Linked DNA regions of Anolis sagrei. The protein of the gene in region 4 interacts with the protein of the main gene of each other region in a pairwise test. Links are inferred from orthologs where the notes say so. Each region holds a gene or a part of one and is shown on either strand. Other genes may lie near its edges.

Evidence for each region.
Region 1: the proteins of U2AF2 (region 4) and PRPF3 interact in binary tests that used the Homo sapiens proteins (3 or more experiments, as listed by UniProt). The link is inferred for Anolis sagrei from reciprocal best matches to the Homo sapiens genes U2AF2 and PRPF3.
Region 2: the proteins of U2AF2 (region 4) and SUGP1 interact in binary tests that used the Homo sapiens proteins (3 or more experiments, as listed by UniProt). The link is inferred for Anolis sagrei from reciprocal best matches to the Homo sapiens genes U2AF2 and SUGP1.
Region 3: the proteins of U2AF2 (region 4) and KHDC4 interact in binary tests that used the Homo sapiens proteins (3 or more experiments, as listed by UniProt). The two-hybrid records come from large-scale screens. The link is inferred for Anolis sagrei from reciprocal best matches to the Homo sapiens genes U2AF2 and KHDC4.

The regions. Positions count from the first base shown.
Region 1 is NC_090032.1:6,002,607-6,010,363, reverse strand, and holds the start of PRPF3 (U4/U6 small nuclear ribonucleoprotein Prp3), read right to left. Parts: upstream 3,130-7,757; 5' UTR 3,007-3,129; intron 1-3,006. Other genes in the region: MRPS21 (small ribosomal subunit protein bS21m), read right to left, coding at 6,936-7,116. UniProt on the Homo sapiens protein: Plays a role in pre-mRNA splicing as component of the U4/U6-U5 tri-snRNP complex that is involved in spliceosome assembly, and as component of the precatalytic spliceosome (spliceosome B complex).
Region 2 is NC_090034.1:50,625,172-50,633,384, forward strand, and holds the start of SUGP1 (SURP and G-patch domain-containing protein 1), read right to left. Parts: upstream 3,107-8,213; 5' UTR 3,047-3,106; coding exon 2,926-3,046; intron 1,481-2,925; coding exon 1,309-1,480; intron 1-1,308. Other genes in the region: MAU2 chromatid cohesion factor homolog, read left to right, coding at 3,257-3,721, 7,584-7,601, 7,964-8,029.
Region 3 is NC_090032.1:14,755,481-14,763,270, reverse strand, and holds the start of KHDC4 (KH homology domain-containing protein 4), read right to left. Parts: upstream 3,160-7,790; 5' UTR 3,063-3,159; coding exon 3,016-3,062; intron 1-3,015.
Region 4 is NC_090026.1:17,873,539-17,881,240, reverse strand, and holds the start of U2AF2 (splicing factor U2AF 65 kDa subunit), read right to left. Parts: upstream 3,117-7,702; 5' UTR 2,815-3,116; coding exon 2,766-2,814; intron 1-2,765. UniProt on the Homo sapiens protein: Plays a role in pre-mRNA splicing and 3'-end processing. By recruiting PRPF19 and the PRP19C/Prp19 complex/NTC/Nineteen complex to the RNA polymerase II C-terminal domain (CTD), and thereby pre-mRNA, may couple transcription to splicing.

The DNA.
Region 1 (7,757 bases), on a different chromosome or scaffold from region 4:
GTGTGGAAGGGCCCTAAAACTTACACAGAACCATTGATAAGTAAAAAAGAGAGGCTGCATTCTTTACACCAACCATATCGGCCTGTGACCACTCATGTTGCCACCAAAAACTAAATGCAAATGCTCACAGTATAATAGTAGTAATAATAATAATTGTGACGTCAAGGAGTATTTTGCTCCAGAACTCTGTCAGTCTGAATTCGGAAGTCCCAGATGAGTTTGACGTGTTTGTTTAGTGTAACTTGTGATCCCACCAGTTCTTTGTCGCAGGCAGATGGTCTTTGTGGCACAAGTTCCAATTAATCATCTGAGCAATGGTGTTATGCCTCTGCTTGTAGTCTGTCTGCGCAATTTTCTTGCAGCAGCTCAGGATGAAATCTATTGTTTCATCGGCTTCCTTGCAGAGTCTACACTTGGGATCTGTTGTCGACTTTTCAATTCTGGCTTTGATGGCCTTGGTTTTAATGGCTTGTTCTTGGACTGCCAGAATCAGGCCCTCCTTTGTCTCCTTTTTCAGAGTCCCATTTCTGAGCCACAGCCATGTTTTTTCTTTGTCAATTTGGCTCTCAATTTTTCCCAGGTATTGTCCATGGAGAGCCTTCTTTGGTCAGTTTTCTCTTCTGCTCTGGATTGTGTTTTTACGGTATTCCCTCTTTGTCTTTTGCACTTGAAGCGGTTTACTACTCTTGACTTCCCTCAATGTTGGTTCTTGACTGCCTTTCCCATCATCTGCCAGGGCATGCTTCTCTTCTTCTACTGTTTGTTTCACTTGCAGAAGCCCACTCTCTGCCTCCTGATTTTCTGAGCAGGTCAAGTTTGTTGACATCACTATGCGGGTGTCATGAGGAGTGGATTGTCATCAGTTTCCTGGTTTTTCTGTCCAGATCATCCAGCTCTGCTTGTGTCCAGTTCACAATCCCAGCAGTGTATCTAATGACAGGGATGGCCCAGGGGTGAGAGCCTTGATCGTATTTCCGCCATTTAACTTGCTCTTCAAAATCTTTCTGACTCTTTGGATATATTCTTTGGTGGCCAACTTTTTCACATGCTCATGCCTGATATTGTCTAACTATAGTATCCCCAGATATTTATAGGCTTCGGGCTGATTGCACTTTATGGTTTGTCCGTTTGGCATCTCAATTATTATATTATTATTTGAAACACAAGAAGCCACTCTGCTGGCTGTTGTATTGGATCACACGTTGGACACTTCCCAAGTGTCTAGGACGGTGTGATGTATTATTATTATTATTATTATTATTATTACTACTACTACTAGACGGTGTGATGTATTATTATTATTATTATTATTATTATTATTATTACTAGAAACACAACAAGATGAGTCCACAACAGACACTCTGCTGGCTGTTGTATTGGATCACACGTCGGACACTTCCCAAGTGTCTACGACTGTGTGATGTATTATTATAATTTACTCATTTAGAGAATAAGGAGAAATTGCACATCTTCCTACAGAGTTCAGATTAAAACTCTATTTTAAAATTGACCCTGTTTACGCAAAAAGCACTGGCCATCCACGAGAAGATGGAAGCAGATAGAGGTGACCTTGCTGCCATCAACAAAATTCAAGCTTAAAAACTTAATATGGACATGCCACTAGTTTTACCTACCCGCGCCCCTGCCCAAACCCTACTTTAAGGAATTAATCAATTTTTAATCTTTTATTTTTTTTATCTTGTAGTTGCACAATCATTTAGGAGTGGGTTGACAGGCTAGTAGGCCGGGATGCCTTGTATTCATATATGGTTTTACTGTATGTATGGGCAAGTGTGTATGTTTTGTATGTTTTGATATGGTCAAAATTGACTAATCAATAAAGAATTATTGTTGTTATTATTATTATTATTATTATTAGAAACACAAGAAGATGAGTCCACAGCAGACACTCTGCTGGCTGTTGAATTGGATCACACGTCAGACACTTCCCAAGTGTCTAGGACTGTGTGATATATTATTATTATTATTATTATTAGAAACACAAGAAGATGAGTCCACAGCAGACACTCTGCTGGCTGTTGTATTGGATCACATGTCGGACACTTCCCAAGTGTCTACCACTGTGTGATGTATTATTAATATTATTATTATTATTATTATTATGTATTTATTGTTATTATTATTATTAGAAACACAAGAAGATGACTCCACAGCAGACACTCTGTTGGCTGCTGAATTGGATCACACGTCGGACACTTCCCAAGTGTCTAGGGCTGTGTGATGTATTATTATTATTATCATTTGAAACACAACATGAGTCCACAGCAGACACTCTGCTGGCTGTTGAACTGGATCACACATGTCGGACACTTCCCAAGTGTCTAGGACTATTTATTATTATTATTATTATTATTATTATTATATTTATTATTAGAAACACAACAAGATGAGTCCACAGCAGACACTCTGCTGGATGTTGAATTGGATCACACATGTCGGACACTTCCCAAGTATCTAGGACTATTTATTATTATTATTATTATATTTATTATTAGAAACACAACAAGATGAGTCCACAGTGGCTGTTGAATTGGATCAGACGTCGTACCCTTCCCAAGTGTCTAGGACTGTGTGATGTATTATTATTATTATTATTATTATTATTATTATTAGAAACACAACAAGATGAGTCCACAGCAGACACTCTGCTAGCTCTTGAATTGGATCACACGTCAAACACTTCCCAAGTGTCTAGGACTGTGTGATGTTATTATTATTGTGGGAGAAATGTCAGGAGAGAATGCTTCTGGAACGTGGCCCGGAAAACGCACAGCAACCCACTAATGGCACCTGGTTGTCTCCCACAAGAGAAGATTCTCCTCTAAAGGCGTTCTGAACCTGCCACTGCCAGGCAGGCCTCTCCATCCCCCCCTTAGGTGAGGGCCCGGCTCTGAGGGGCTCCTCAGGCCTTGCCCCTTTTCCCTCAGGAAGGAGCCGGGCCTTCCTCCCCCTGAGGCGCCTCCGCGGCCTCCCCGCCTGGCTCACCCGTCCTCGGAGTCTCCTTCCGCCTCCTTCCCGCCTCCTTCTCCTCTCCAGACCCGCTCCCTCGACGGCGCTGCGAGGTCGTCGCCCAGCGGAAGCGGAAGCTGCTTGCTGGAGGCGTACGTTTTCCCTACTCTCGCTCGGAGGCGGGACTTCCGCGGCCAGGAAAGCCCCGCCTCTTCCGCCGCAGCGGGGTCGCCATGGCGACGCGGCTCTGATTGGCTGGAGGCGCTCTCCTTTTCTTCCAATAGTTAAGCCTAGTCTGTATGTCAGGCCAAACTTGGGCCTTCCTCCCTCAAATCCTAATAGACTGTAAAGAATGGTGGGAGTTGAAGTCCAAAACACATGGAGAACACCTTCCCCTCCCTTCTTCCTTTCTTTCCTTTCTCTTCCCTTCGTTTTCTCTTTCTTCCCTCCTTCTTTCTTTCTTTCTTTCTTTCTTTCTTTCTTTCCTCTTCCCATCTTTCTTTTCTTTTTCTTTCTTTCTTCCCTCCCTCTCTTCCCTTCTTTTTCTTTCTTCCCTCCCTCTCCTTTCCTTCTCTTCCCTTCTTTTTCTTTCTTCCCTCCCTCTCCTTTCCTTCTCTTCCCTTCTTTTTCTTTCTTTCTTCCCTCCCTCTCCTTTCCTTCTCTTCCCTTCTTTTTCTTTCTTCCCTCCCTCTCCTTTCCTTCTCTTCCCTTCTTTTTCTTTCTTTCTTCCCTCCCTCTCCTTTCCTTCTCTTCCCTTCTTTTTCTTTCTTCCCTCCCTCTCCTTTCCTTCTCTTCCCTTATTTTTCTTTCTTCCCTCCCTCTCCTTTCCTTCTCTTCCCTTCTTTTTCTTTCTTCCCTCCCTCTCCTTTCCTTCTCTTCCCTTCTTTTTCTTTCTTTCTTCCCTCCCTCTCCTTTCCTTCTCTTCCCTTCTTTTTCTTTCTTCCCTCCCTCTCCTTTCCTTCTCTTCCCTTCTTTTTCTTTCTTCCCTCCCTCTCCTTTCCTTCTCTTCCCTTCTTTTTCTTTCTTTCTTCCCTCCCTCTCCTTTCCTTCTCTTCCCTTCTTTTTCTTTCTTTCTTCCCTTCTTTTTCTTTCTTTCTTCCTTCCTTCTCTTCTTTTTTCTTCCCTCCCTCTCCTTTCTTCCCTTCTTTTTCTTTCTTCCCTCCCTTTTTTCATTTTCTCTTCCCTTCTATTTCTTTCTTCCCTCCATCTCCTTCCTTCCCTTCTTTTTCTTCCTTCCCTCCCTCCTTTTTCATTTTCTCTTCCCTTCTTTTTCTTTCTTCCCTCCCTCTCCTTTCCTTCTCTTCCCTTCTTTTTCTTTCTTCCCTCCCTCTTCCTTTCTTTTTATTTCTTTCTTCCCTCTACTTACTTTCTCTTTGCTTCTCCCTCTTGTTTTGTTTTTGCTTCCCTTTTTTCTTTCTTCCCTCCCTTTCTCGTTTTTCTTTTTCCCCTCCTTCTTTCCCCTTCCCACCTTTCCTTCTTCTCTCTCTTCCTTTTTCTCTTCCCATCTTTTTATTCTTCCTTCTCTTTCTTTCCTTTCTCTTCCTTTTTCTTTCTTCCCTCCCTCTCCTTTCTTTCTCTTTGCTTCCATTTTCTTTCTTCCCCCTTATTTCCTCTTCTCATCTTTTTCTTTCTTCCCTCCCTTTCTCTCATTTTTTTCTCCTCCCTTTCTTTCCTCTTCCCATCTTTCTTCCCCTTTTCTTTCTTCTCTCTCTTCCTTTTTTCTGTTTCTCTTCCCATCTTTTTAATTCTTCCTTCTCTCTTCTTTCCTTTTTTCTCTTCCCTCCCTTTTCTTCATTTTCTCTTCCCTTTTTTTCTTTTCTTCCCTCCCTCTCCTTTCTTTCTCTTTTGCTTATTTTTATTTCTTCCCCCTTACTTTGTTTTTTCCCATCTTTTTCTCTTTCTGCCCCCCTCTCCTATCTTATCTTTCACTTCTTCTTTATTCCCTCCCTCTTCTACTCATTGTTCCCTCCCTCTTTTCTTCTTCTTCTCATCTTTCTTCCTTCCCTTTTTCTTTTTCTTCCCCCCTCTTTTCCTTTTTCTCTTTCCCTTCCCATCTTTTTAATTCTTCCTTCCCTCCTTTCATTTTCTCTTCCCTTCTTTTTCTTTCTTCCCTCTCTCTTCATTCTTTATCTTCCCCTCTTTTTTTCTTGCTTCCCTCCCTCTTGTTCCTTTTGTTCTTTCCTTCCCGCCATTTTCTCTTCCCTTTTCTTTCTTCCTCCTCCTCTTTTCTTTCTTTTTCCTTCTTTTTCTTTCCTCTTTCCTTTCTTCCCTCCCCTTTTTCTTTTCTCTTCTTTCTTTCTTCACTCCCCTTTCTCTTCCCTTTTCTTTCTTCTCCTTTTCTTTTCCCTTTCCTCCCTCTTCCTTTATTTTCTTCCCCCTCTTTCTTTTCATTTTTCTTCCTTCCCTTGTCTTTCTTTTCTCTTCTTTTTCTTTCTTCCCTCCCTCTTTCTCTTCCTTTCTCTTTCTTTCTCTTACCATTATATTGTAATATTATTAGTAATATTACATGGAGCATACATATATAATTATGATATATTATTTTTATTAGTATTATATTGCATTACAATATTATAAATATTCTATGTATATAATTTTAACAAATTGCTAAATATTACTATATTGTACTATACCATTGTAATATTATTTGTAATATTACATTGAATATAAATATATAATATAATAATTATTAGTAGTATTATATTGTATTACATTATAATATTATAAATATTATATGTATATAATTTTAACAAATTGCTAAATATTACTATACCATTATAATGTAATATTATTAATAATACTAAATGTAATATAAATATATAATTATAATATCATTATTTTATTAGTATTATATTGCATTACATTATAATATTATAAATATTATATGTATATAATTTTGCTAAATATTACTATATTGTATTATACCATTGTAATATTAGTAATATTACATGGAATATTAATATATAATTATGATATATTAATTTTATTAGTATTATATTGCATTACATTATAATATTAAAAATATTCTATGTATATAATTTTAACGAATTGCTAAATATTACTATATTGTATTATACCATTATATTGTAATATTATTAGTAATATTACATGGAATATAAATATATAAATATCCTATTATTAATAGTATTATATTGCATTATATTATATTATTATAAATATTCTATGTATATAATTTTAACAAATTGCTAAATATTACTATATTGTACTATACCTTTATTTTGTAATATTATTAGTAATATTACATGGAATATAAATATATAATTATGATATATTATTTTTATTAGTAAAATAATAATATATAATTATATTAAAATTATTATTAGTAAAATAATAATATATAATTATATTAGTAGTAGTAGTATTATATTGCATTACATTATAATATTATAAATATTTTATGTATATAATTTTAACGAATTGCTAAAAATTACTTTATTGTACTATACCATTACATTGTAATATTATTAGTAATATTACATGGAGTATAAATATATAATTATAATATTATATTATTATTAATAGTAATGTATTGCATTACATTATAATATTATAAATATTATATGTATATAATTTTAACGAATTGCTAAATGTTACTATATTGCACTATACCATTATATTGTAATATTATTACTAATATTACATGGAATATAAATATACAATTATAATATCATATATCAGTAGTAGTATCATATTGCATTATATTATAATATTATAAATATTGTATGTAAATAATTTTAACGAATTGCTCCCCTTAAAAATCAAACACCATGAGGACATCCCACTAGAAATCCCACAATCACCAAGTGATTTTTCACAAGGGCTTTATTGGCGTCATCATTTTTCAGACTGTAAAAAGAAACCAAGATACTCTGATGATTAAGGGGGTTCAAAACAATCCCACCAAAAGGAATGCGCTGTTAGGTCTCCAATACGGAAAACCCTTGAGTTCAGCAACCCATCCAAGGGTCTGCGCGATTCTTGCGTGCGATGAAGCTGATCTTCCGAGCCATTTCCGTGTTATATATATTCCGGCACGCTTCGTAGGTCTCCCGCTGCCTCCTGCGGCACGGCTTCTCGTAATACCGCCGCCGCTTGGCTTCGTCGATGATCCCATCCATGGTGAGGACCCTGGAGAAGAGGAGAAAGGAGACCCCTTGTCAAAGAGCACAGATCGAGTCGGATGCTTACTTGCCTTCCCTCCAGACGCAATAAGAAACAACAACACCCCCTAAATGTATATACTATTCTGTATTTTTTCTGCATGAGTCAACAGTGTGATGCAGCAGCTGAAAAGGCCAATGTGATTCTAGGATGCATCAATAGACGTCTAGTGTCTAGATCAGTGGTTCGTCAAGGGACCACCTTGACGAGGGACCACCTTGGCGAGGGACCACCTGACCAGGGACCACTTTGATCAGGGACCACTTTGATCAGGGACCACCTTGACCAGGGGCCACCTTGACCAGGAGCCATTTTGACCAGGGTCCACCTTGAGCAGGGTCCACCTTGAGCAGGATCCACCTTGAACAGGGTCCACCTTGACCAGGGACCACCTTGACCAGGGATCACTTTGACCAGGAGCCACTTTGACCAGGGACCTCCTTGACCAGGGACCCCTTTGACCAGGGGCCACCTTGACCAGGGACCACCTTGACCAGTATCCACCTTGACCAGGGACCACTTTGACAAGGGTCCACCTTGAGCAGGGTCCACCTTAACCAGGGGCCACCTTGAGCAGGGTCCACCTTGATCAGGGACCACTTTGACCA
Region 2 (8,213 bases), on a different chromosome or scaffold from region 4:
ACAGATAAGCATCTCGAGCTCTGAGGATGACCAGGGAAGGAATCCCATTGGAGCATTGAAGCACACCCAAATACCTGGGAGTTGCTCTGGACCATGCTCTGACCTACAAGAAGCACTGCTTGACTATCAAGCAAAAACTGAGTACTAGAAACAATAACATACAAAAGCTGACTGGCAGAACCTGGGGATCACAACCACACACAGTGAAGACATCTGCCCTTGCACTTTGCTACTCTGCTGCTGAGTACACATGCCCAGTGTGGAATACATTTCAACATGTTATAAGAGTGGACGTGACATCACAGAATGTCTATGCTTTACACCACTGGGGAAATTATGTTTACCCAGTATTGCACCACCTGATATCCTCAGGGAAGTAGCAGCTAGTAATGAAAGGATCAAGACATTGACATCTCTGGCCCATTCTCTGTTTGGATAGCAGCCAGCATGCCAATGATTTAAATCAAGAAACAGCTTTCTAAGATCTATGGAGATACTTGCAGGAACACCTCAACAAGCGAAAGTGCAAAAGTGGCAGGAAAAAAAATGGAACTTCAATCACTTACTGATACCCAATGAGAAACTCCCTCCTAGGCACATAGAAGACTGGGTGACTTGGAAGGCACTGAACAGGCTGCACTCTGGCACCATGAGATGCAGAGCCAACGCTAAGAAATGGGGACTCAAAGTGGAGTCCGTGACATGCGAGTGTGGAGAAGAGCAAACCACAGACCACCTGTGGCAATACAGACTAACCTCGGCCACATGTACAATGGAGGACCTTCTCACAGCGACACCAGAGGCACCCCAAGGGGCCAGCTTCTGGCCAAAGAAAATTTAGCATAATGCCAAGCTTTCTAACTTTGTTTGTGGATTTTAAAAAATATTATAACTGTATTCTCAATTTTCTTCTGACATAAGTAAATAAAAATAAAATAAATCTGATTGTGTCTTCCTGCCTAGCAGAATGAGGTTGGACTGTATGCCCCTTTGTGGTCTCTTCCAACTCAGGATTCTATTGCCTCCGTGAACCTAATGGTGTCTACGAGGTTTCATGGTCATCTGTCAGGAGGGCTTGGATGGTGTCTTCCTGCCTAGCAGAAGGGGTTTGGGCTGCATAGCCCTGGAGTCTTTTCCAACTCTAGAATTATATGATCCTACAATTTTGGAAACTTGAAGTTGGGTTTGGAGACCACTGCTTTGGCCTATGCTTGTAAGTCTTGCATGCAATGTTGGAAAGATCATAGATAAACCTATCAAAAAGTAAACAAGCAAGCAAGCGCCCCCCTTGCCCCAACTCCTACGGACTCGCTGGCCTGTGAGGACTGCTGCCGGGCCAAGTGACTCTGCTTGGCCTGCCGCTCCATCTTGGCCTCGATCTCCCGCTTCTTCTGGGCAATCAGCTTCTCCTGATGGAGGATGTTCACGTTGGTCTTCATCGACTTGGGCATGGTGACGCCAAACCACCGGCTGACTTTGCCTGGTCAAACAGGAGAAAGGAAAAACATGGGAGGCTCAAGGCTCACAAAAACCACACAAAGAGATTGAGGTTTCCCTCCTATCAACATGGGCATATGTTGCTGAAGGCTTTCATAGCCAGAATCACTGGGTTGCTGTGAGTTTTTCAGGCTGTCTGGCCATGTTCTAGTAGCATTCTCTCCTGACATTTCGCACACAGCTGTGGCTGGCATCTTAAGAGGTCTGTTGGAAATGTACTGGATGGGGTCGCACTCCCCTTGAAGGCGTAGGTTCGCAGCTTGGGTGTGATCCTGGATTCATCGCTGAGCCTGAAGCCCCAGGTTTCGGCGGTGACCAGGGGAGCATTTGCACAGCTTAGGCTCGTGCGCCAGCTGCGCCCGTACCTTGGGAAGTCTGACTTGGCCACGGTAGTCCACGCTCTGGTTACATCCCGTTTAGACTACTGCAACGCTCTCTACGTGGGGTTGCCTTTGAAGACGGCCCGGAAGCTCCAACTGGTCCAATGTGCGGCAGCCATGATACTAACAGGAGCGGGACGCAGGGAGCATACAACCCTCCTGTTGTACCAGCTCCACTGGCTGCCGATCTGCTACCGGGCTCAATTCAAGGTGCTGGCATTGGCCTATAAAGCCCTAAACGGTTCCGGCCCAAGATACCTAACTGACCACCTCTCGACCTATGAGCCCACGAGGACTTTGAGATCTTCCGGGGAGGCTCTGCTCTCAATCCCGCCTGCTTCACAGGCACGGCTGGCGGAGACGAGAGATAGGGCCTTCTCAGTAGTGGCTCCTCGGCTGTGGAACACCCTTCCCGTGGACATCAGACTGGCTCCTTCCCTGATAATATTCCGCAGGAAATTAAAGACCTGGCTGTTTAAGAAGGCGTTCGAACAAGAAGTGCAATGATTGGTAATTGACTATAGGAATGGAACAACGGATAATTATACTGGATTGTGGTTTTGATGATGAGACGACGCGGAATGGCTTTTGTAGTAATGATGATGTTTTCTGATGATGATGTTTTTTTGTTAATGATGGACTGTGGATTATTTTATATTGTGTCTTGTATTCTGAACCTTGTTCTTTCTATGTTGTACGCCGCTGTGAGTCGCCCCTGGGCTGAGAACAGCGGTATATAAGCAAAGTAAATAAATAAATATATAAATAAGGCAAGTGGCAAGTGGCAGGCATATGAATAGCCTTCCACTGAATAGCCTTGCAGCTTCAAAGCCTCGCTGCTTCCTGTTTGGGGGAAATCCAGTTATTCTGGCCATGAAAGCCTTCGATAACACAATGAGGGAATGGCCTAGACAACAAGGCCCTACCTGAGAGAGGAAGCCTGTTGATTTCACGGGAGAAAGGCAAAGGAGCTTCTAGGGAGGCCAGGTGGGCCATTGGGACCCACCTGGATGGAGGTGGGAGGGGCGTGTAGGGGAAAAAGACTCACCTGGCGCTTCTCTGCCTCCTTCCATGTCTCTCAGGAAGTTCCTTTTCTCCCACAATGCCGCACGCGCACCAGCCCAAGCTCTTAATAGAATTATCTGCCAACTCTCGCGAGAAGACAGCATTTCTTGTCTCCTCCCCCCAAGCCAAGCTCCTTTTGTGTTCGCTGAGATAAACAAGGGACCTCCAGACTACGCATGCGTCGCAGCAGAGCCCGAATTGCGCGTGCGTCCCAGCGCAGCCGTCCTCTCCTCCGATTGGCCAACTCGGCAAGGACGGGTTTTTTCGCAGGCGCAGTGGCCGTCATTCGGGTCTTCGGCTGAGGTAAATCCAAGATGGCGGCGGTGGGAGCTTCGGGAGCGGAGACGGCGGTGTCTTCGGCCTCGACGCCAACGTCGACGTCGTCCGCAGTGGCGGTGGCTCCGTCTTCGTCGGCCTCGGCGCCTCAGCCTCCGGGAGGGAGTAGCGCGACGGCGCCACCTCAGCAGGCCGGCTCCGAGGCCGCTCCAGCCGGGGGCAACAACCCTGGCTCGGGCGGGTCTTCGTCCTCGGCTTCTTCCTCTGGCGGCGGGGCCTCGCCGTCCTCGTCGGAGTCGTGGTACGTGGCGCTGCTGGGCCTGGCCGAGCACTTCCGCACCTCCAGCCCGCCCAAAGTGCGCCTCTGCGTCCACTGCCTCCAAGCCGTGCTGCCACGCAAGCCCCCGGCCCGCGTCGAGGCCCGCACCCACCTCCAGCTCGGCTCCGTCCTTTACCACCACACCCGCAACGGAGAGCAGGCCCGCGGACACCTCGAGAAGGCCGTGAGTATTTCTTTACATGCTTTGCTGTCTGGTGATCTGGAAAATAAAGTAACCAGAAAGTGTTGGTTTCTAATATATGTAATTTCTTTGTGCTTGTGGGTAAACAGTATTTCTTGTTCTTTCTTTGTCAGTGTTGATGTGGAGAGTGTCTGGTTTGACTACTCTGGAACATGCAACATATAATTGTCCTTCTTTTGGAGGTCCCTTTCAAATCTATGATGCTATATCTGGTTTGTTTGTTTGTCGTGTCAGGAGCGACTTGAGAAACTACAAGTCGCTTCTGGTGTGAGAGAATTGGCCGTCTGCAAGGACGTTGCCCAGGGGACGCCCGGATGAATTGATGTTTTTATCTTCCTTGTGGGAGGTTTTCTCATGTCCCCGCATGAGGAGCTGGAGTTGATAGAGGGAGCTCATCCGCCTCTCCTCGGAATTTTTTATTTATTTCGTGTTAGGGCAGCCAGTCAATTATATCATATTTCTAACAGAACAAAGCAAACAAACAGACATAATACAAAATTTTTGAGTTTGGTAGTTGATTAAATGTCCTTTGACCAGTATCTGGCCACTTGGAGTGCTTCTGGTGTTGCTGCAAGAAGGTCCTCCATTGTGCATGTGGCAGGGCTCAGGTTGCATTGCAGCAGGTGGTCTGTGGTTTGCTCCTCTCCACATTCGCATGTCGAGGATTCCACTTTGTAGCCCTATTTCTGAAGGTTGGCTCTGCATCTCGTGGTGCCAGAGCGCAGTCTGTTCAGCGCCTTCCAAGTCGCCCAGTCCTCTGTGTGCCAGGGAGGAGTCTCTCATTTGGTATCAGCCATTGGTTGAGGTTCTGGATTTGAGCCTGCCACTTTTGGACTCCCGCTTGCTGAGGTGTTCCAGCGAGTGTCTCTGTAGATCTTAGAAAATTATGTCTACATTTAAGTCGTTGACATGCTGGCTGCTACTTCCCGGCGGATATCAGGTGGTGCAATACCAGCTAAGCAGTGTAATTTCTCCAGTGGTGTAGGGCGCAGACACCCCGTGATAATGCGGCATGTCTCATTAAGATTTGAACCTCATTAAGATTTGAACCTGCGACCTGTCGGTCTTCAGTCCTGCCGTCACAGGGGTTTAACCCGCTGCGCCACCGGGTTAAACCCCTGTGAATATATATGATTCACCGTGTGTGTGTGAATAATACTATGTATCTCTATCTGTGGCTTGATGGCTCTTTGTCCGGAGGGCTTTGATAATGTTTTCTTGCCTGGTGAAGGGAGTTGGACTGGATGGCCTTAAGTATTTTCTGTTGGTCATGGGGGTTCTGTGTGGGAAGTCTGTCCCAATTCTGTCGTTGGTAGGGTTCAGAATGCTCTTTGATTGTAGGTAAACTATAAATCCCAGCAACTACAACTCCCAAATGTCAAGGTCTATTTTCCCAAAACTCCATCTGTGTTTATATTTGGGCTTATGGAATATTCATGCCAAGTTTGGTCCAGATCCATCATTGTTTGAGTCCACAGTGCTCTATGAATATAGGTGAACTACAACTCCCAAACTCAAGGTCAATGCCCACCAAACCCTTCCAGTATTTTCTCTTGGTTGTGGGAGTCCTGTGTGCCACGTTTGGTTCAATTCCATCATTGGTAGAATTCAGAATGCTCTTTGATTGTAGGTGTACTACTATAAATCCTAGCAACTACAACTCCCAAATGACAAACTCAATTTTTTGAGTGAAGGACATACATTGGATTGTTAGGTGTATGCTGCCCAAATTTGGTGTCAATTCCCTCCTGTGGTTTTTGAGTTCTGTTAATCCCACAAACGAACATTATAATTTTATTTATATATATTTTACCCCGTTCTATCTCCACCCCGAAGGGGACTCGGAGTGGCTTCCAGTTTGGCAATCATTCAGTCAAACAAGGGGGACTGCCATGCAGGAAAAGCACAATCAAAGCACCCCCAACAGATGGCCACCGAGTTTTTGTAATAATAATAACAGGAGCAATCCCAGGGACCATTCAGTCCAACCCCCTTTATTCTGCCATCCAATCAAAGCACCCCCAACAAATGGCCACCTAGCTTTTGCAATAATAATAGTAATAGGAGCAACCCCAGGGACCATCCAGCCTTTGCATTATAATAGTAGTAGGAGCAATCCAAGGGGCCATCCAGCCTTTGCAGTAGTAATAATAATATTTGTTTATTTCCAGCATTTTCTACCCCATCTTACTCAACTCCCAGAGGGGTACTCAGGACAGCTTACACTTGTAATAGGAACAACCCCAGAGGCCATCCAGTCCAACTCCCTTTATTCTGCCATGCAGGAAAAGCACAATCAAAGTACACCCAACAAATGGCCACCCAGCCTTTGTAATAATAATAGGAGCAACCCCAGAGGCCATCCAGCCTTTGCAGTAATAATAAGAATAGTAATAGGAGCACCCCCCCTCCCAACAGATGGCAACCACCCTTTGTAGTAGTAATAATAAGAATAGTAATTGGAACCTGAGGCCATCCAGTCCAACCCCCTTTATTCTGCCAATCAGGAAAAGCACAATGAAATCATCCACAACAGATGTCTACCCACCTTTTGTAGTAATAATAGGAGCAACCCCAGGGGCCATACAGTCCAACCCCCTTTATTCTGCCATGCAAGAAAAACACAATCAAAGCACCCCCAACAGATGACCACCCACCCTTTGTAATAATATTACTAGTAATAGGAGCCATCCAGCCTTTGCAGTAATAATAATAATAATAGTAGCAGTAATAGGAGCAACCCCTGCGGTCATCCAGTCCAACTCCCTTAATTCTGCCATGTAGGAAAAGCAGAATCAGAGCACCCCCAACAAATGGCAGCCACCTTTGTCACCCCAGCGGCCACCCAGCCTTTAATAATAATAGTAGTAGTAATCTTTATTTATTTACCACATTTATATCCTGCCCTCTTCACACTGGAAGGGGACTCAGGACAGCTCACAACAAAGGCACAATTCGATGCCTTGAACACATATAAATTAAAGCAACATATACTTTAAAAATACATTGTTAAAAATATCGCTTAAAACAATTACTTAAAATTGCATAATCCAAAAACATAATCCAGAAGCCTTTCCGATTATCATTTGCATTGTTTATTATTGCTCTAATAGGAATGGTAATAAGAGCAACCCCAGGGACCATTCGGTCCAACCCCCTTCTGCCATGCAGGAAAAGCACAAAGCACTCCTTGAATAGTGGGAGGGAAATAGGGTTTGGGAAGCAAGCAAAGCAAGGGAGAAAGGATCTGGGCAGCGAGGAGGGTTAGGAAAACTTTTGGGAGCGGGGAAGCAAGGAAAAAAGGTTTTGGGTATGTGAAGGGGGAGGGAAAGGAACTGGAAGGGGGAGGGCAAGGAGGGATGAATGGAGCCCCTCAGTATAGATTTATAGAGTTGGAAGAGACCTTGTGGGCAATCCAGTCCAACCCCCTGCGAAAAAGCAGGAAAATCGCATTCAAAGCACCCCCGACAGATAGCCATCCAGTCTCTGTTTAAAAGCCTCCAAAGAAGGAGCCTCCACCACACCACAGTATGTAGAGTACACTTTGAAAACCACTGATATGGATTATAAGCACCAAGGATAGTCGTACCATCATATTTCCCATGTATGGAATTGAGACCTCAACAATGAAGAATGCTGATACGAAAACATTTCAGTTGTATATCTTTGCATTTCAGATTCTTATCTAGTTGTTTCATCGCTGTCTGTCTGAAAGTGCATCTAGATCACAGAATTAATGCAGTTTGATACCAGTAGAATTGCCATGGCTCAGGGCTATGAGATAATGGTGGTTGTAGCTCCTTTTGCATAGATTCCAACAATGTTTTGTTTTTCTCTTTTACAGTGGCTGATATCGCAGCATGTATCCTTTTTTGTCCTAGTCTTAGGAAAGCTGAGATTGTCCCAAATTGACTTTTCACCCAAAATTAGCATGAGATAATTATACATGAACAAAACACTCACTGATTCCACATGTTGGTCCAAGTTATGAGAAATGTCATTCTTCTGTTTATTTTGGGAATCGCCTCTGCATTATAGTCTCAATATATCCCTTCCTTGGAAGCATTTAAGCAGAAGCTTGTCTCTTTTGAGGCAGATGTTGCATTTACTATCAACACGGATTGGGTGTCCTTCAAAGTCCTTTGCAGTTGTAAAACTGCACAGTTCCAATACAACAAGCAAACAAGAAAATAGTATGTTAGCTTAACATATGAATGCTACCAGATCCCACAGTTTGAAGATGTTAAATTTGAAGCCGCCAGCCTTTTGTCTGAGTTGTATTGCCAAGAGGTAGGTGGAGATAACTTTTTGTGCCAGTAGTTTGTGAGAGTTGTGGTTAAAGGAGGTTTAAACAAATGCCTCATTTCAGTGCAAAATGAGTCAAGACAGTGTTGCTTTGAGGTTTCCAGGCTGTCTGGCCATGTTTCGGGCTGTTGGGGAACTCCTTCACCCACCCGTGGTGGAAGAGACCTTC
Region 3 (7,790 bases), on a different chromosome or scaffold from region 4:
CAAGGAAGTCTTTAGGATTCCTCTCCCGTTGCTTACCCATCTTAGGGCAACACAAAGGAAAGGCACTACTATAGGATGGGAGAAGTCTGAGGAGACCACACACTGAAGATGAGTGAACAGTGTGATGCAGCAGCTCAAAAGGCCAATGAGCTTCTAGGCTACATTAATGGGAATACAGTGCCTAAAGTAAAGGTTTTCCCTTGATATTAAGTCTAGACGGGTCCAACTCTGGAGGATGGTGTTAATCTCCATTTCTAAGCCAAAGAGCCAGCGTTGTCCATAGACACCTCCAAGGTCCTGTGGCTGGCATGACTGCATGGAGTGCAGTTATCTTCCTGCTGAAGCAGTACCTATTGATCTATTCACATTTGCTTGTTTTCAAACCGCTAGGTTGGCGGAAGCTGGGGCTAATAGCAGGAGCTCACCCTTCTCCCCGGATTCAGACTGCCAACCTTTCGGTCAGCAAGTTCAGAGCTCAGCAATTTAACCCGCTGCACCAATGGGGGCTCTATACAATACCTAGATCAAGGGAAATTATAGTCTGCCTCTATTTTGCTTTGCTCAGACCTCATTGGGAAGACTATATCCAGCTCCACAATTTAAGAAGGATTTTGAAAAGATGGAAGCAATCCATTGAAGGATGACCCAAATAGTCAAAGGTCTAGAAGCCAAGCCCTATGAGGAACGGCTTATTGATTTATTTACAATATTTCTATCCTGCCTTTCTCAAACCCGAAGGTAACTCAAGGCAGCTTACAACCAGGCAGCTATTCGATGCCTAACAATTAACAGAATTAAAAATACATTCAATAAAACATACAAAACCAAGGTCTTCACTGTCCATAAATCGTCATCTTAGACGTTCCAATGTCCACTTTCGTCTAATACCGTGTTTGACTGTTGCATTAAATTCCGAAGGCTTGTTCAAATAGCCACGTTTTCACTTTTTTTCTAGAAGGTCAAGAGGGAGGGGGCTGATCTAATATCCCTGGCAAGGGTGTTCCACAACTGAGGGGCCACCACTGAGAAGGCCCTGTCTCTCATCCCCTCCAGTCACGCCTACGAAGAAGGCAGGATCGAGAGCAAGGCCTCCCCGAACGAACTTAACCTCTTAGATGGTTCATACGGAGAGATATGTTCGAACAGGTAAGCTGGGCCAGAACTGTTTAGAGCAGGGGTCCTCAAACTTTTTAAACCGGGGGCCAGTTCACTGTCCCTCAGACCGTTGGAGGGCCGGACTATAGTTTTTTTTAAAAAACATCAATAAAAAAATTCCTATGCACATTGCACATATTTTATTAGCCCTCTTTAGGCAGTAATTTCAGAAGCAGAAAATGGGAAATCTTCCTATTTCTAGTCTGAACAAAATCTGGCTAACAGTATTTAAAAAACTCTAAAATTATAACTGTAAATAAAGAACAACACTCAAACACAGGGGAACTCCAGACAAGAAACAATCAGGGCCAGCTAATCACCTCTCAACAAAGGATTCTCCCTAAAAACTGTCAGGTTATGAAATGGTAATCAAGGTGGCCAATTGAAACATTGATACCTACCTCCAACAGACAAGAGTTCTTTCTCCCACCCTGGATCTTCCACAATTTTCCTAGTTAAAGGTTTTCCTCTGACATGAAGTCCAGTCGTGTCTGACTCTGGGGTGCGTGCTCATCTGCATTTCTAAGTCGAAGAGCCGGCGTTGTCCGTAGACACCTCCAAGGCCATGTGGCCGGCATGACTGCATGGAGCGCTGGGGCAGCATCCTTGGCTGGCTCACGTTGCCCATCGGGCCTGACGGATAGCGTGAGCCTGCCAAGGGAGGAGCAGCCCCGCACGGCCTACTTGCGAGTAAAACACCTCACGATGTGCTTTACACGCAAGTAGGCCACGCTGAGCAGCTGCCCTTGGCTGGCTCACCCTGCCCATTGGGCCTGACGGATAGCGTGAGCCAGCCAAGGTAGGGGCACTGGGGAGGGGGGCGCTCCTCCTCCGCGGGTCGGATAAGTGCCCTTGGCGGGCCGGAAGTGGCCCATGGGCCGTAGTTTGGGGACCCCTGGTTTACAGCTTTATAGGATAAAATCAGCACTTTGAGTTATGCCTGGTAGCAAACGGGCAGCCAGTGGAGTTGGCGTAACAGAGGGGTTGTATACTCCCTGAATGCCACTCCAGAGAGCAATTTGGCTACCGCTCGTTGGATCATTTGAAGCTTCCGAGCAGTCTTCAAGGGCAACCCCGCGTAGAGTGTGTTGCAGTAGTCTATATGGGATGTAGCCAGCTTAGGGAGCTGGGAATATTTAGTCTGGACAAAAGAAAGCTAAGAGGGGAGATGAGGACCATGTTTAAATATTGGGAAGTTGGCCACATAACCTTGGAGGTGTCTATGGACAACGCTGGCTCTTTGGGGTGGGGGGGGGGGGAGTGATGCCATTTGGGAGTTTTAGTTGCTGGAATTTATAGTTCACCAACAACCAAAGAGCATCCTGAACTTCACCAATGATGGAATTGAACCAAACTTGGCACACAAAACTCCCATGACGAACAAAATATACCGGAAGGATTTGGTGGGCATTGACCTTGAAGTTTGGGAGTTATAGTTCACCTACATCCAGAGAGCACTGTGGATGCAAACAATGATAGATCTGGACCAAACTTGGCACGAATACACAATATGCCCAAATGTGAATACTGGTGGAGTTGGGGAAAATAGACCTTGACATTTGGGAGCTGTAGTTGCTGGGATTTATAGTTCACCTACAATCAAAGAGCATCCTGAACCCTGCCAAGGATAGAATTGGGCCAACCTTCCCACATGGAAACCAGATGGCCAATGCTGTGTTTTTGATAGTCTTTGGCGACCCCTCTGACACGTCCTTATGACCCCCCAGGAGTCCAGAGAAAGCAAAGGCCTTTTGGCTGGCTCATGGGCGAAGAGTAGGCCATCTGGCCTAGGCCCTCCCTCAGCAGGCCTCTCCCGTGCTGCCGCCCGAGGTCCCGCCTCCTCCACCTCCGCTTCCTTACCCTCCCGAAGCCCCGGGTTCGCGCTGCCCCGCGCCGCCCGCTGACATGGCTCACGCAGCCCCGCTTAGGCCGCCGCCACCGTCGCCGTCCCCAGCGCTGAGGGGGGAAGAAAAATCCCCTGCTACGTCACTTCCGACTCCTTGCAGGCAGCTTCCGTGATGTAACTTCCGGTAGTTGCCCTGGCGACGAAGAGTGACGCGCTTGTGGGCGGAGCTTCCGGTTTCTGTGGGATTTAAAGGGAAATCACTGAAGGAAAGGAAGAAAGGTATCCCTATACTAGCTGTCCCCTGCCAGGCGTTGCTGTGGCCCAGTCTGGTGGTCTTGAAAATGAAGTAATGAGAAAGTGTTGGTTTCTAATCTATGCCTGTGGGTAAACAGTATTTCTTTCTGTTTCTTTGTCAGTGTTGATGTGGAGATTGTCTGGTTTGCCTACTCTGGAACAGGCAACATATAGAATCATGTATTGCAACATATAGAATCCACCCTCTCACATATTTATACATGACTATCATGTCTCCTCTCAGCCTTCTTTTTTTCAAGCTGAACATGCCCAGCTCCTTAAGCCGCTCCACATAGGGCTTGTTCTCCACACCCTTGATCATTTTAGTCGCCCTCCTCTGGACACATTCCAGCTTGTCAACTCTCACATGTTTATACAGGGCTATCATGTCTCCTCTCAGCCTTCTCTTCTTCAGGCTAAACATGCCCAGCTCCTTAAGCCGCTCCTCATAGGGCTTGTTCTCCAGACCTTTTATCATTTTAGTCGCCCTCCTCTGGACACATTCCAGCTTGTCAACTCTCACATATTTATACATGGCTATCATGTCTCCTCTCAGCCTTCTCTTCTTCAGGCTAAACATGCCCAGCTCCTTAAGCTGCTCCTCATAGGGCTTGTTCTCCACACCCTTGATCATTTTAGTCGCCCTCCTCTGGACACATTCCAGCTTGTCAACTCTCACATATTTATACATGGCTATCATGTCTCCTCTCAGCCTTCTCTTCTTCAGGCTAAACATGCCCAGCTCCTTAAGCCGCTCCTCATAGGGCTTGTTCTCCACACCCTTGATCATTTTAGTCGCCCTCCTCTGGACACATTCCAGCTTGTCAACTCTCACATATTTATACATGGCTATCATGTCTCCTCTCAGCCTTCTGTTCTTCAGGCTAAACATGCCCAGCTCCTTAAGCTGCTCCTCATAGGGCTTGTTCTCCAGACCTTTTATCGTTTTAGTTGCCCTCCTCTGGACACATTCCAGCTTGTCAACTCTCACATATTTATACAGGGCTTGAATGATCTACGAATGGAACAAATCAAGAACTCTGGTCCAAAAGCAAGGCGCTGGCTGCTGGAGCTGATGAACAACTGCACGGCATCCTGTCAGATCCCCAAAATCTGGAGGAAAGCAAGAGTCATCGCCATCTTGAAGCCAGGCAAAGACCGTAATGATCCAAAAAGCTACAGACCAATCTCCCTGTTGTGCCACCTCTACAAAGTTCTGGAAATACTTATTTTGCAGAAAATAACGGAAAATATAGACCCCTGTCTGATCCCACAGCAAGCTGGCTTCAGGAAAGGCAAAAGCTGCACATCGCAAGTGCTGAACCTGACTCAGCACATAGAAGATGGCTTTGAAAGGCAGCAGATCACAGGAGCTGTCTTCATAGACTTGTCAGCAGCCTATGATACTGTAAACCACCGCCTCCTCCTGAGAAAAATGTATAATATCACAAAGGACGACCACCTCACCCGCCTCATAGGAAAGCCGCTACAAAACAGGAGCTTTTTTGTTGAGTTCCAGAGCCAGAGAAGCAGAGGGCGGAAACGGAAGAACGGCCTGCCTCAGGGGAGCGTGCTTGCTCCATCCATGTTCAACATCTACACAAATGACCAGCCACTGCCAGAAGGGACAGAGAGTTTCATCTATGCTGATGATCGTGCCATCACCGCTCAAGCAGGCAGCTTTGAGATGGTTGAACAGAAGCTCTCCGAAGCTCTAGGTGCTCTTACTGCCTATTACAGGGAAAACCAGCTGGTCTCCAACCCATCCAAATCACAGACATGTGCCTTTCATCTCAAGAACAGACAAGCATCCCGAGCTCTGAGGATTACCCGGGAAGGAATCCCACTGGAGCACTGCAGAGCACTCAAATACCTGGGAGTCACTCTGGACCGTGCTCTTACCTACAAGAAGCACTGCCTGAACATCAAGCAAAAAGTGGGTGCTAGAAACAATATCATACGAGAGCTGACGGGCACAACGTGGGGATCACAACCAGATACAGTGAAGACATCTGCCCTTGCGCTCTGCTACTCTGCTGCTGAGTACGCATGCCCAGTGTGGAACACATCTCACCACACTAAAACAGTGGATGTGGCTCTTAATGAGACATGCCGCATTATCACGGGGTGTCTGCGCCCTACACCACTGGAGAAATTACACTGCTTAGCCGGTATTGCACCACCTGACATCTGCCAATAGTGAAAGGACCAAGGCAGAGACATCCCCAGCTCATCCCCTGTTTGGGTATCAGCCAGCACGTCAAGACTTAAATCTAGAAATAGTTTTCTAAGATCTACAGAGACACTCGCTGGAACACCTCAGCAAGCAAGAGTCCAAAAGTGGCAGGCTCAAACCCAGCACCTCAACCAATGGCTGATACCAAATGAGAAACTCCCTCCTGGGCACACAGAGGACTGGGCGACTTGGAAGGCGCTGAACAGACTGCGCTCTGGCACCACGAGATGCAGAGCCAACCTTTAGAAATGGGGCCACAAAGTGGAATCCACGACATGCGAGTGTGGAGAAGACCAAACTACAGACCACCTGCTGCGATGCAACCTGAGCCCTGCCACATGCACAATGGAGGACCTCCTTGCGGCAACACCAGAGGCACTCCAAGTGGCCAGATACTGGTCAAAAGACATTTAATCAACCACCAAGTGTGCAAAGTTTGTGTTTTTCTGTTTGTTTTGTTTAAAAATGTAATATAAATGTCTGGTTGCTCCTGACACGATAAATAAAATAAATACCAATTATTTTATGAGATTATTCTCGGAGCTTGGGTTTGGATTTGTGGTCAACGTAAAGGCTTCCTGGACAGACATCTAAATAAACTGCAACCGGGTAGGAAAGTATTAATACTATTTAATCATGTTCGTACACCATTCTTGAAGGCAAGAACATTAAGACAGAAGGGAAGAGCAGCATGAATTTATCTGATGGAAAGTTCCCCACAATCGAGTCTGTTTACATGCTTCCTTTACATTATTTGTGATAAGGAACACGGACAGAAATGCATTGCGGAGGAGACACCACCAAAGTCAAAGGAACGACTCAGAGTGACTCACTTCCCTTGGTTTCACAGCTCAGGTTTATTTTAGCACCAGGTCCTTAGAACTCATGATGGAAAGCAGAGATACTCGCTACGTAGAGCTGATGCCTGTGCTTGTTTACAGCGATGTACATCCAACTGAATTGAATTGCTGTATGGCAGTGTAGTCGAACATGACCCCCCCCCCATAAGAGATAGTAACTTATAGTTTTGCCAAGGGCAAGGACACCAGGCTGGATAATAAGGGTTAGTTTGGTGTGTATCATTTAATCAAGGCTTTATGCTCTATTTTCATATGTTTACAGCAGAAAGTAACCAATTTATTACTGAAAATCATGCTACATGAAAATCATGCTACATGATGGTCCCCCATCTCACAAACAAGGGACTCTCTTTCCCCCTCGTGGATATATTTCCCTTTATGGACCTTCCTATGGATAATATGAACTATGGACACTGAGGGAAGGTAGCTGGGTTTACTCTCTGTGTTATGATTTCTATTGTTTCATATTTTCTCCTGTATTTCTATATTTCCCTTCGTGTATGCGCCCGTACCTTGGGAAGTCTGACTTGGCCACAGTAGTCCACGCTCTGGTTACATCCCGTTTAGACTACTGCAACGCTCTCTACGTGGGGTTGCCTTTGAAGACTGCTCAGAAGCTTCAACTAGTCCAACGTTCGGCAGCCATGATTCTAACAGGAGCGGAGCGCAGGGAGCATACAACCCCCCTGTTGCGCCAATTCCACTGGCTACCGATTTGCTACCGGGCCCAATTCAAAGTGCTGGCGTTGACCTTTAAAGCCCTAAACGGTTCCGGCCCAAGCTACCTATCCGACCGCATCTCTGCCTATGAACCCACCAGGACTTTGAGATCTTCCGGGGAGGCCCTGCTCTCGATCCCGCCTGCCTCACAGGCACGGCTGGCGGGGACGAGAGATAGGGCCTTCTCGGTGGTGGCCCCTCGGCTGTGGAACGCCCTTCCTATGGATATTAGACTAGCTCCATCATTAATGGTATTCTGCAAAAAAGTGAAGACCTGGTTGTTTGAGCAGGCGTTCGAATAGTCAGTGCAATGAGTGTAATGAACATAGGAATGGAACAATGAATGACGGATCTGGATCATGTTTTTAGTGATGAGACGCTAGTGAATGGCTATTGTTGTTAACTGTATATTATTGTATAATGTGTTATGATGTTAACTGTTTTTATACCGTGTTATTGTAGCATTGAAGTTTTGCTGTTCTGTTGTTAACCGCTGTGAGTCGCCTAAGGGCTGAGAACAGCGGTATACAAATAAAGTAAATAATAATTAAATAAATGTATTTGACCTTGCCCTGAGCCTTTTGCCCCCCTCCCCTCTCCTTTGGGGAAATCTACAATCCCTGCCTCTGGAAAAGCAATCAGCAATCATGAAAAGACCCTTATCTTTGGACATTCTTTG
Region 4 (7,702 bases):
CTATGTAACTTATTTAGGTTCAATGCTTAAAACACTTCATGCATGATTCTCAGCCAATTTATCTTAATACAATCACCCCTCTACATTCGGTGGTGGCCCCTCGACTCTGGAACTCACTCCCCAAGGACATCAGGCATGCCCCAACTCTGGCAGTCTTTAGGAGGAGCCTGAAGACATGGCTGTTCTAGTGTGCCTTCCCAGAATAAGGAAACTCCTAGCAATATGTCCCTAAATGCACTTTATCAATGTTCTAGGATTGTCTTCACACCCCTTTCCTCTCCGAAATTCTATCCTAGTTACATATTTCACCTGGTCATGCTCAGCATTATTTTTTTTAAAAAAAATTATTACATTTGGCCCAGCCATAGGTTTTAATGTGTTGTTGTGCTATTGTTAATGTTTACTGCTGTTTTTTGTTTTTGAGTTTCAGATTGTTTGTATTGCTATTGTTGTTTTTGCTGATGTATTGTGGGCTCGGCCTCATGTAAGCCGCACCAAGTCCCTTGGGGAGATGGTAGTGGGGTACAAATAGTTTATTATTATTATTGGGGTAAGATGCACAGGACACCCGCATCTCCGTCTATTAACCCACGTGTTCCCTTCGTTCATCTGGAGAGGCCCTGCTCGTGATCCCACCTGCGTCGCAGGCGCGTTTGGTGGGGACGAGGGACAGGGCCTTTTCTATGGTGGCCCCCCGACTTTGGAACACCCTCCCCAAGGACATCATTGTATTGTTATGTTGTTGTTTTTATTGAGGCCTTGGCCTGTGTAAGCCGCATCGAGTCCTTCGGGAGATGCTAGCGGGGTACAAATAAAGTTAATAATAATAATAATAATAATAATAAATTGAAAAATTGCAAATTTTTTCTCCCCTGAGGGAAAATCTTTCTAGGGCTTTTCTAGGTCCTCCAGCACAACTCTGTGGTCATATTCCGCTGAAAGCTGGCCACAGAAAAGCACTGGAGGACCTAGAGAGTCCTAGAGAGATTTTCTCATGCTGGATCCTCCAGCGTGACTCTATAGTCAACTTCCTAGAGAGAAAATTGTGAAAGTTGGAGTCCAAAAAACCTGGAGGTATTACTATTACTATTATTATTATTGGGGTAAGACACACAGGACCCCCGCAAAAGGTGAAGACAGAAGGGAGCAGAAGGCACTTCCATCTTGTCTTCTGCCTATATCATCACTTGAGAGGCCCCTCCCCCTTCTGGCACTAACGGCTGTTCTGGCCAGAGCAAAGACAGAAGGCAGCAGAAGACACTTCCATCTTGTCTTTACTAATAATATAATATAGTATATTGTATATACATATAATATTTATAATATTATAATGTAATATAATATAATACTAGTAATAATAATTCAATATTATAATTATAATTATATATTTACATTACATGTAATATTACTAATAATACTACAATATAACGGTATTGTGCAATATAGTAATATATACTGATATTGTACTATGCTAATAATATAATATATTGTATGAAAATATATATTGTAAGCCGCTCTGAGTCCCCTTCGGGGTGAGAAGGGCGAGATATAAATGCCATAAATAAATAAATAATAAATAAAATTGAAAAATTGCAATTTTTTCTCACCTGAGGGAAAATCTTTCTAGGGTTTTTCTAGGTCCCCCAGCACAACTCTGTGGTCATATTCCGCTGAAAGCTGGCCACAGAAATGCACTGGAGGACCTAGAGAGTCCTAGAGAGATTTTCTCATGCTGGATCCTCCAGCATGACTCTGTAGTCAACTTCCTAGAGAGAACATTGTGAGAGTTGGAGTCCAAAAAACCTGGAGGTATTATTATTATTATTGGGGTAAGACACACAGGACGCCCGGGAAAATCTTTCTAGGGGTTTTCTAGGTCCTCCAGCACAACTCTGTGGTTATATTCCGCTGAAAGCTGGCCACAGAAATGCACTGGAGGACCTAGAGAGTCCTAGAGAGATTTTCTCATGCTGGATCCTCCAGCATGACTCTATACTCAACTTCCTAGAGAGAATATTGTGAGCGTTGGAGTCCAAAAAACCTGGAGGTATTATTATTACTATTATTATTGGGGTAAGATGGACAGGACCCCCGGGAAAATCTTTCTAGGGGTTTTCTAGGTCCTCCAGCACAACTCTGTGGTCGTATTCCGCTGAAAGCTGGCCACAGAAATGCACTGGAGGACCTAGAGAGATTTTCTCATGCTGGATCCTCCAGCGTGACTCTGTAGTCTACTTCCTCGAGAGAACATTGTGAGAGTTGGAGTCCAAAAAACCTGGAGGAAGGCCCAAGTTGGTCCAGGCTTGCTGTGGAGGTTTCTAAGCAGGTGGCCATCTGTCGGGAGTACTTTGGTGGTGTACTCCCGCGTGGCAATCTCCCAATCAGCCAGATCAAGGCCCTCCTTTGTCCCTGTTCTTCCCAGAGAGTAAAGAAAAGGCGCCAGGAGGGAGAGCGATGGTGCCAGGCCCGGCCTTCCCTTCTCCCGCCCCGTTAAAGGCGTGCGCAGAGCCACCAACGGCCATGCCTGCCTCCATAGCTCGCCTCCCGGGAAATCAGGCGAAAGAGGAGAAAGGCGAAGTTGGCTAACAAGAAGGACAATACCCGCCCCCCCTCCCCCGCCGCATAGGCCCAGCCATATGGTAGCGCCCGCCTCAGGTAAACGGGCCCTTCCATTCTCACCAAGGGGGGCGCGTCCGAAGCAGGCGGGATTTCGACGCCCTCACGCCCTGCCCACCTCTCTCTCTCTCTCTCGTTCGCTCGCTTACCTTGTTTGTTTTCGTTAAGCTGCCGCTCGAACTCGTCGAAGTCGGACATGGCGACGGAATAATAAGACTCAAGCCCGGCCTGGCTCTTCTGCCCGCTTGCTTCACCGCCGCCTCACGCAGTAGGCCGCAACGGCGCCTTTCCTTGAGTTCGGCAACTTCCGGCAAGGGCTTCGGTTGGTTACGGAAAGGCTCGGCTGCGTGCGAAGGCGCGTCTCTACTTCGGTCACTCCCTTTTCGGCTTTTTCCGTAAAGGTTCGTGTGCTGACGGAAATGTTCGGCTATATTCGAGAGAGCCTCCTCTCACGATTCTCGTCCTCGCGGTCGCTCCGCCTCGTCTCACTCCCGCCTGTAAAGCATCTTCGGCTTTTTCCGGAGAGGTTCGGGTTTTTCCTCCCAACGTCACTTCCTCTGCCCGTGTTCGAGTGTCGCATGCTCTTGGCTCCTCCCTGCATTGTGTTATGTTGACAATAGGGAAAGCGAACGATTGGTTCCGGGGCTATTGGGTTTTTCCACCAGACGCCCTTTAGTTGAATGTACAGGGTTAGTCAAAATGCATAGGCCAATAAGCCATTCAATTGAATGGCTTATTGGCCTATGCATTTTGACTAACCCTGTATTGTAGAAGGCTTTCATGGCCGGAATCGCTGGGTTGCTGAGTTTTCCGGGCTGTATGCCCATGTTCCAGAAGCATTCCCTCCTGACGTTTCGCCTACATCAATGGCAGGCATCCTGAGAAATACTCCTGTTTTTTTATTTTAAAGTTTTTTTAATGCTGGTAGCCAGATTTTGTTCATTTCTGAAAGAAAACCATGAAAAGGAACAAAATCTGGCTACCAGTATTTTAAAAACTCTAAAATCAAAATAAAGAGCAACACTCAAAAACAGGAGAATTCCAGACAAGAAACAATCAGGGCCAGCTCACTACCTCTGAGGATGCTTGCCATAGATGCAGGCGAAACGTCAGGAGAAATGCCTCTAACATGGCCCTATAGCCCGAAAAAACCCACAAGAACCTAGTGATTCCAGCCATGAAAGCCTTCGACAATCAGGGCCAGCTTATTACCTCCCAACTAAGAATTCCCCCAGGCAGGAAGCAGCCAGACCTTGAAACTCCAATGCCATTAAATGCGAATCAAGGCGGCCAATTGCAACATCCAGATATATAAACTCAATTTCTCTAGTTTCCAAGAGACCTCACAACCTCTGAGGACGCCTGCCACAGATGTGGGTGAAACATCAGGAGAGAATGCTTCTGGAACATGGTCATACAGCCCAGAAAACTCACAGCAAGGATGCCTGCCATAGATGTAGGTGAAACATCAGGAGAGAATGCTTCTGGAACATGGTCATACAGCCCAGAAAACTCACAGCAAGGATGCCTGCCATAGATGTAGGTGAAACATCAGGAGAGAATGCTTCTGGAACATGGCCATACAGCCCGGAAAACTCACAGCAACCCAGCCCTTTAATTGCTTTGGGTCTCTTTTTTTTTTTGGGAGAAATTTGGACACAAAAGGGAGCCAGTCCACCACGTGGTGGAAGTAATGGAAAATATAATATAAAAATATATAATTTATTTTTATATTCTCCCAAAAGCATTCAGCCTTTTATTTCATTAGCTTAATTCATATTTGGTGCCATTGCTTTTCCCCCAAATGAATTAAGCATTTCCGGTTTCTGGATCTTAGAAGGGCAACTTCCTGTCGTTTATGCTACTAAATGGAGAAAATATAAATTCTCCAAATATAAATAAAATATACATTCCTCCACCACCTCAATCCAACGGATTATTTTAAAAACACCTAACTTCTGCATAATTAAAATATGGAGAACTACAAAGATAGGAGACACCCAAAGGAATCTTGTGCCTTCTGATGGAATAAATTAAGGGTGCATTTATTATTATTATTATTATTATTATTATTATTAACTTTATTTGTACCCCGCGAGCATCTCCCAAAGGACTCGATGCGGCTTACAAAGGCCGAAGCCACAAAACACAATACAATAGAGAACATAACAAGCAATAACAAAACAAATCAAAATCAAAAAGCAAATCAAAATCAAAAATTGGCAAGACAGCAATAACAATACATCAAGACATATTAAAACTGGTTCGGCCGGCGAGAGGGGTACAAGGTTAAAAGTGCTGAAATGATAGGAGGGGCGTAGGGATTAAAGTACGGTGTGCAGTAGTGTTAATTGTGCTAAAGTGCTACTAGGACTTGTAGAATGAATGCAGATTGACACCACTTTAATCTCCACAGCTCCAACCTATGGGATCTTAGATATTGTAGTTTGCTGTAGCCCCAGAGCTCTCTGAAAGAAAAGAAAAATACCTTGCTAAACTACACACCCCAGAATTCCATAGCATTGCGGCAATTCAACCCCACACTGCCTAAGTCTCCAGTCCTCAACGAGGAAAAATTAACTTAGAATAGGCTGAGGGTTTCCTCCCCCCCCCCCCCCCCAAGTCTCTTATATGACAGTTGGAATGTAACTATTTGTGCTCTCCTCTGTTTCTGCTAAAATTGGTTGTGTATAATTTATACTTTTCTACTGAAGACCTTACCTTCTACTTTTACATCTTTGAATATGCTGTGTGTATTGAGATCTTTGTATGTCAAGAGAGATGTAGTGGTTGATGATTTTTCCCTCTCTTTGAAACCTTAGACGAGATGGGTGTTAAGAGTAGCTCAGACCCAGTTCTTTACTTTTAAGAAATATAGTTAAACTTTTTGTGATTTTTTTTAAAGACAAGATTCTGCATCTTTGCATCATAAGTTCTAAATTCCTTGCAGCCACATCACATGGCACTTCATGCTTTGTATTGTCGAAGGCTTTCATGGCCAGAATCACTGGGTTGTTGTAGTTTTTTTCAGGCTATATGGCCATGTTCCAGAGGCATTTTCTCCTGACGTTTCGCCTGCATCTATGGCAAGCATCCTCACTACCTCTGAGGATGCTTGCCATAGATGCAGGCGAAACTTCAGGAGAAAATGCCTCTAGAACATGGCCATATAGCCCGAAAAAATCTACAACAACCCAACTTCATGCTTTGCTTGCTGTGGGCTGATTGCTCAACTTTAAGTATCCTGTTTGTGTTTTGGATGCTCTGCTATATTTTTGGGTAGTTTTCCCTAACAGTATCAAACTGTTGCACTTCTGCAGTGTTGATGCAGCCTTGATCCACAAAAGCTTATGCTACCAATGTTTTGAGTTAGCCCCCATATACACTGCAATAGAATCCAGTTTCAGAATGCAGTTTAACTGCATTGAACGGGGGTTTTTTGAGTCCACACTGCCATATAATGCACTTCAATGCCATTGAACTGCAGTCTGAAACTGCATTGTATACTGTAGTAGTGTATATGTGGCCTTAATCTCAAAGGTGCCATAAGGATCCCTTGGCATGCATATCCTGATTAACTAGGCTATGAATCTCCAAGGATGCCTGATGTATCTTTCATTGTAGGGTGGAGGAAATATGTAGACCTCCAAGTGTTGATTTCAGACTATTCATCCCTCATTGTTGACAGTGTTGGCTGAGGCTGTTAGGAGTTGTAACCCAACAGAGGCTTTGCATTCTTATACGGTATGGATTGCCAGTCACTTCCAAATATGAGCCATTCAGTGAAGTTACAGAAATGCACCTAGTGAAGTTACAGAAATGTTTTGTACAGCTATGTTCCTTTCAGAATATTGTATGTTACCTTCATAATTCAACTGTGATGCCAGGTTATTAATGTTTTCATTTCACAGTTTGATAACTAAATCCGAACTTATCCAAGGATCTCTAGAAAATACATACTTGGCTGTGAATTCCAATCCAATCTCCTTGTTCATTCCCAAAGAGGCAGTGAAATACCAATTTATAGATAAATAGATACATCACAGACATTGTTCACTTTTATTCAAAACACAGTTTAATTTAAATCTTAGTAAATAGAATTTGAAACTTTTTATTTTTTTAAATATTTTTAAACACAAGAGGAAAGGGGGCAGGGTTAAAAATTACAGGCACAGTGGAAACAACCCATTAATTACACTGAATAACAAGAGTGCATTCCCAAAAACCAGAGGCAAACTGATGACATCCTTGTATTCAGTCTTTGTCATACATACCCGCAGTGGTATCTTGAAGACATAAATGTGCAGATCAGCCTCCTCAAATTACATCCTCCAGATACTTTGGACTACAGTCTTCATCATAGTCAACTATTCACCTTGCTAGTGATGGGATTGATAGTCCAAAACACCTGAACAGCCTCAGTTGACAAAGCCTGCACCAAGTCTGTATATGATTAGTGCTCACACAAAAGGAGCAAAAAAAAAAAAGAATGAAAATGACCAAAAATTGGCAGCAAAACAAAGAATCCTGTTTGTGTGCCAGTAATAGGCACACAGAAATGAAAGAAAAAGCCTGGCACAACTATGAGGTAAAAGATATGGGACATGGGCAGGGCATGGGAATGTTTTGGGTCGTTGCAGGAAAGTATCTGGAGACCTCAGAACAGTGCAGTTAATCCCTCCAGTTTTAGGAAGATTAGAGTGAAAAGCCGAAGGGAGAGAACTCTTATAAAGCATCAAAGCAAGGTGAGCAATGGTACCCAGCCATATGCCTTCTCAGGTCTAGTCTAATTACTCAGCTGGCTGGAGAAGACAATGGAATAATGGCATGGTACATGAAGTGTCTGAATCCTCCATCAAGAAACACTTTGTAAGGAGACTAAGTAGTAGGACTAAAAATGTGACCACTGCATCCTCACTTGACGTTATGGCCCTTTGGAAATGCATTTCCCAACTTCTAACTATTTACCGGGAGCCCCCGGTGGCACAGTGGGTTAAACCACTGAGCTGCTGAATTTGCTGACCGAAAGGTTGCCGGTTCGAATTCAAGGAGCAGGATGAGCTCCAGCTGTTAGCCCAGCTTCTGC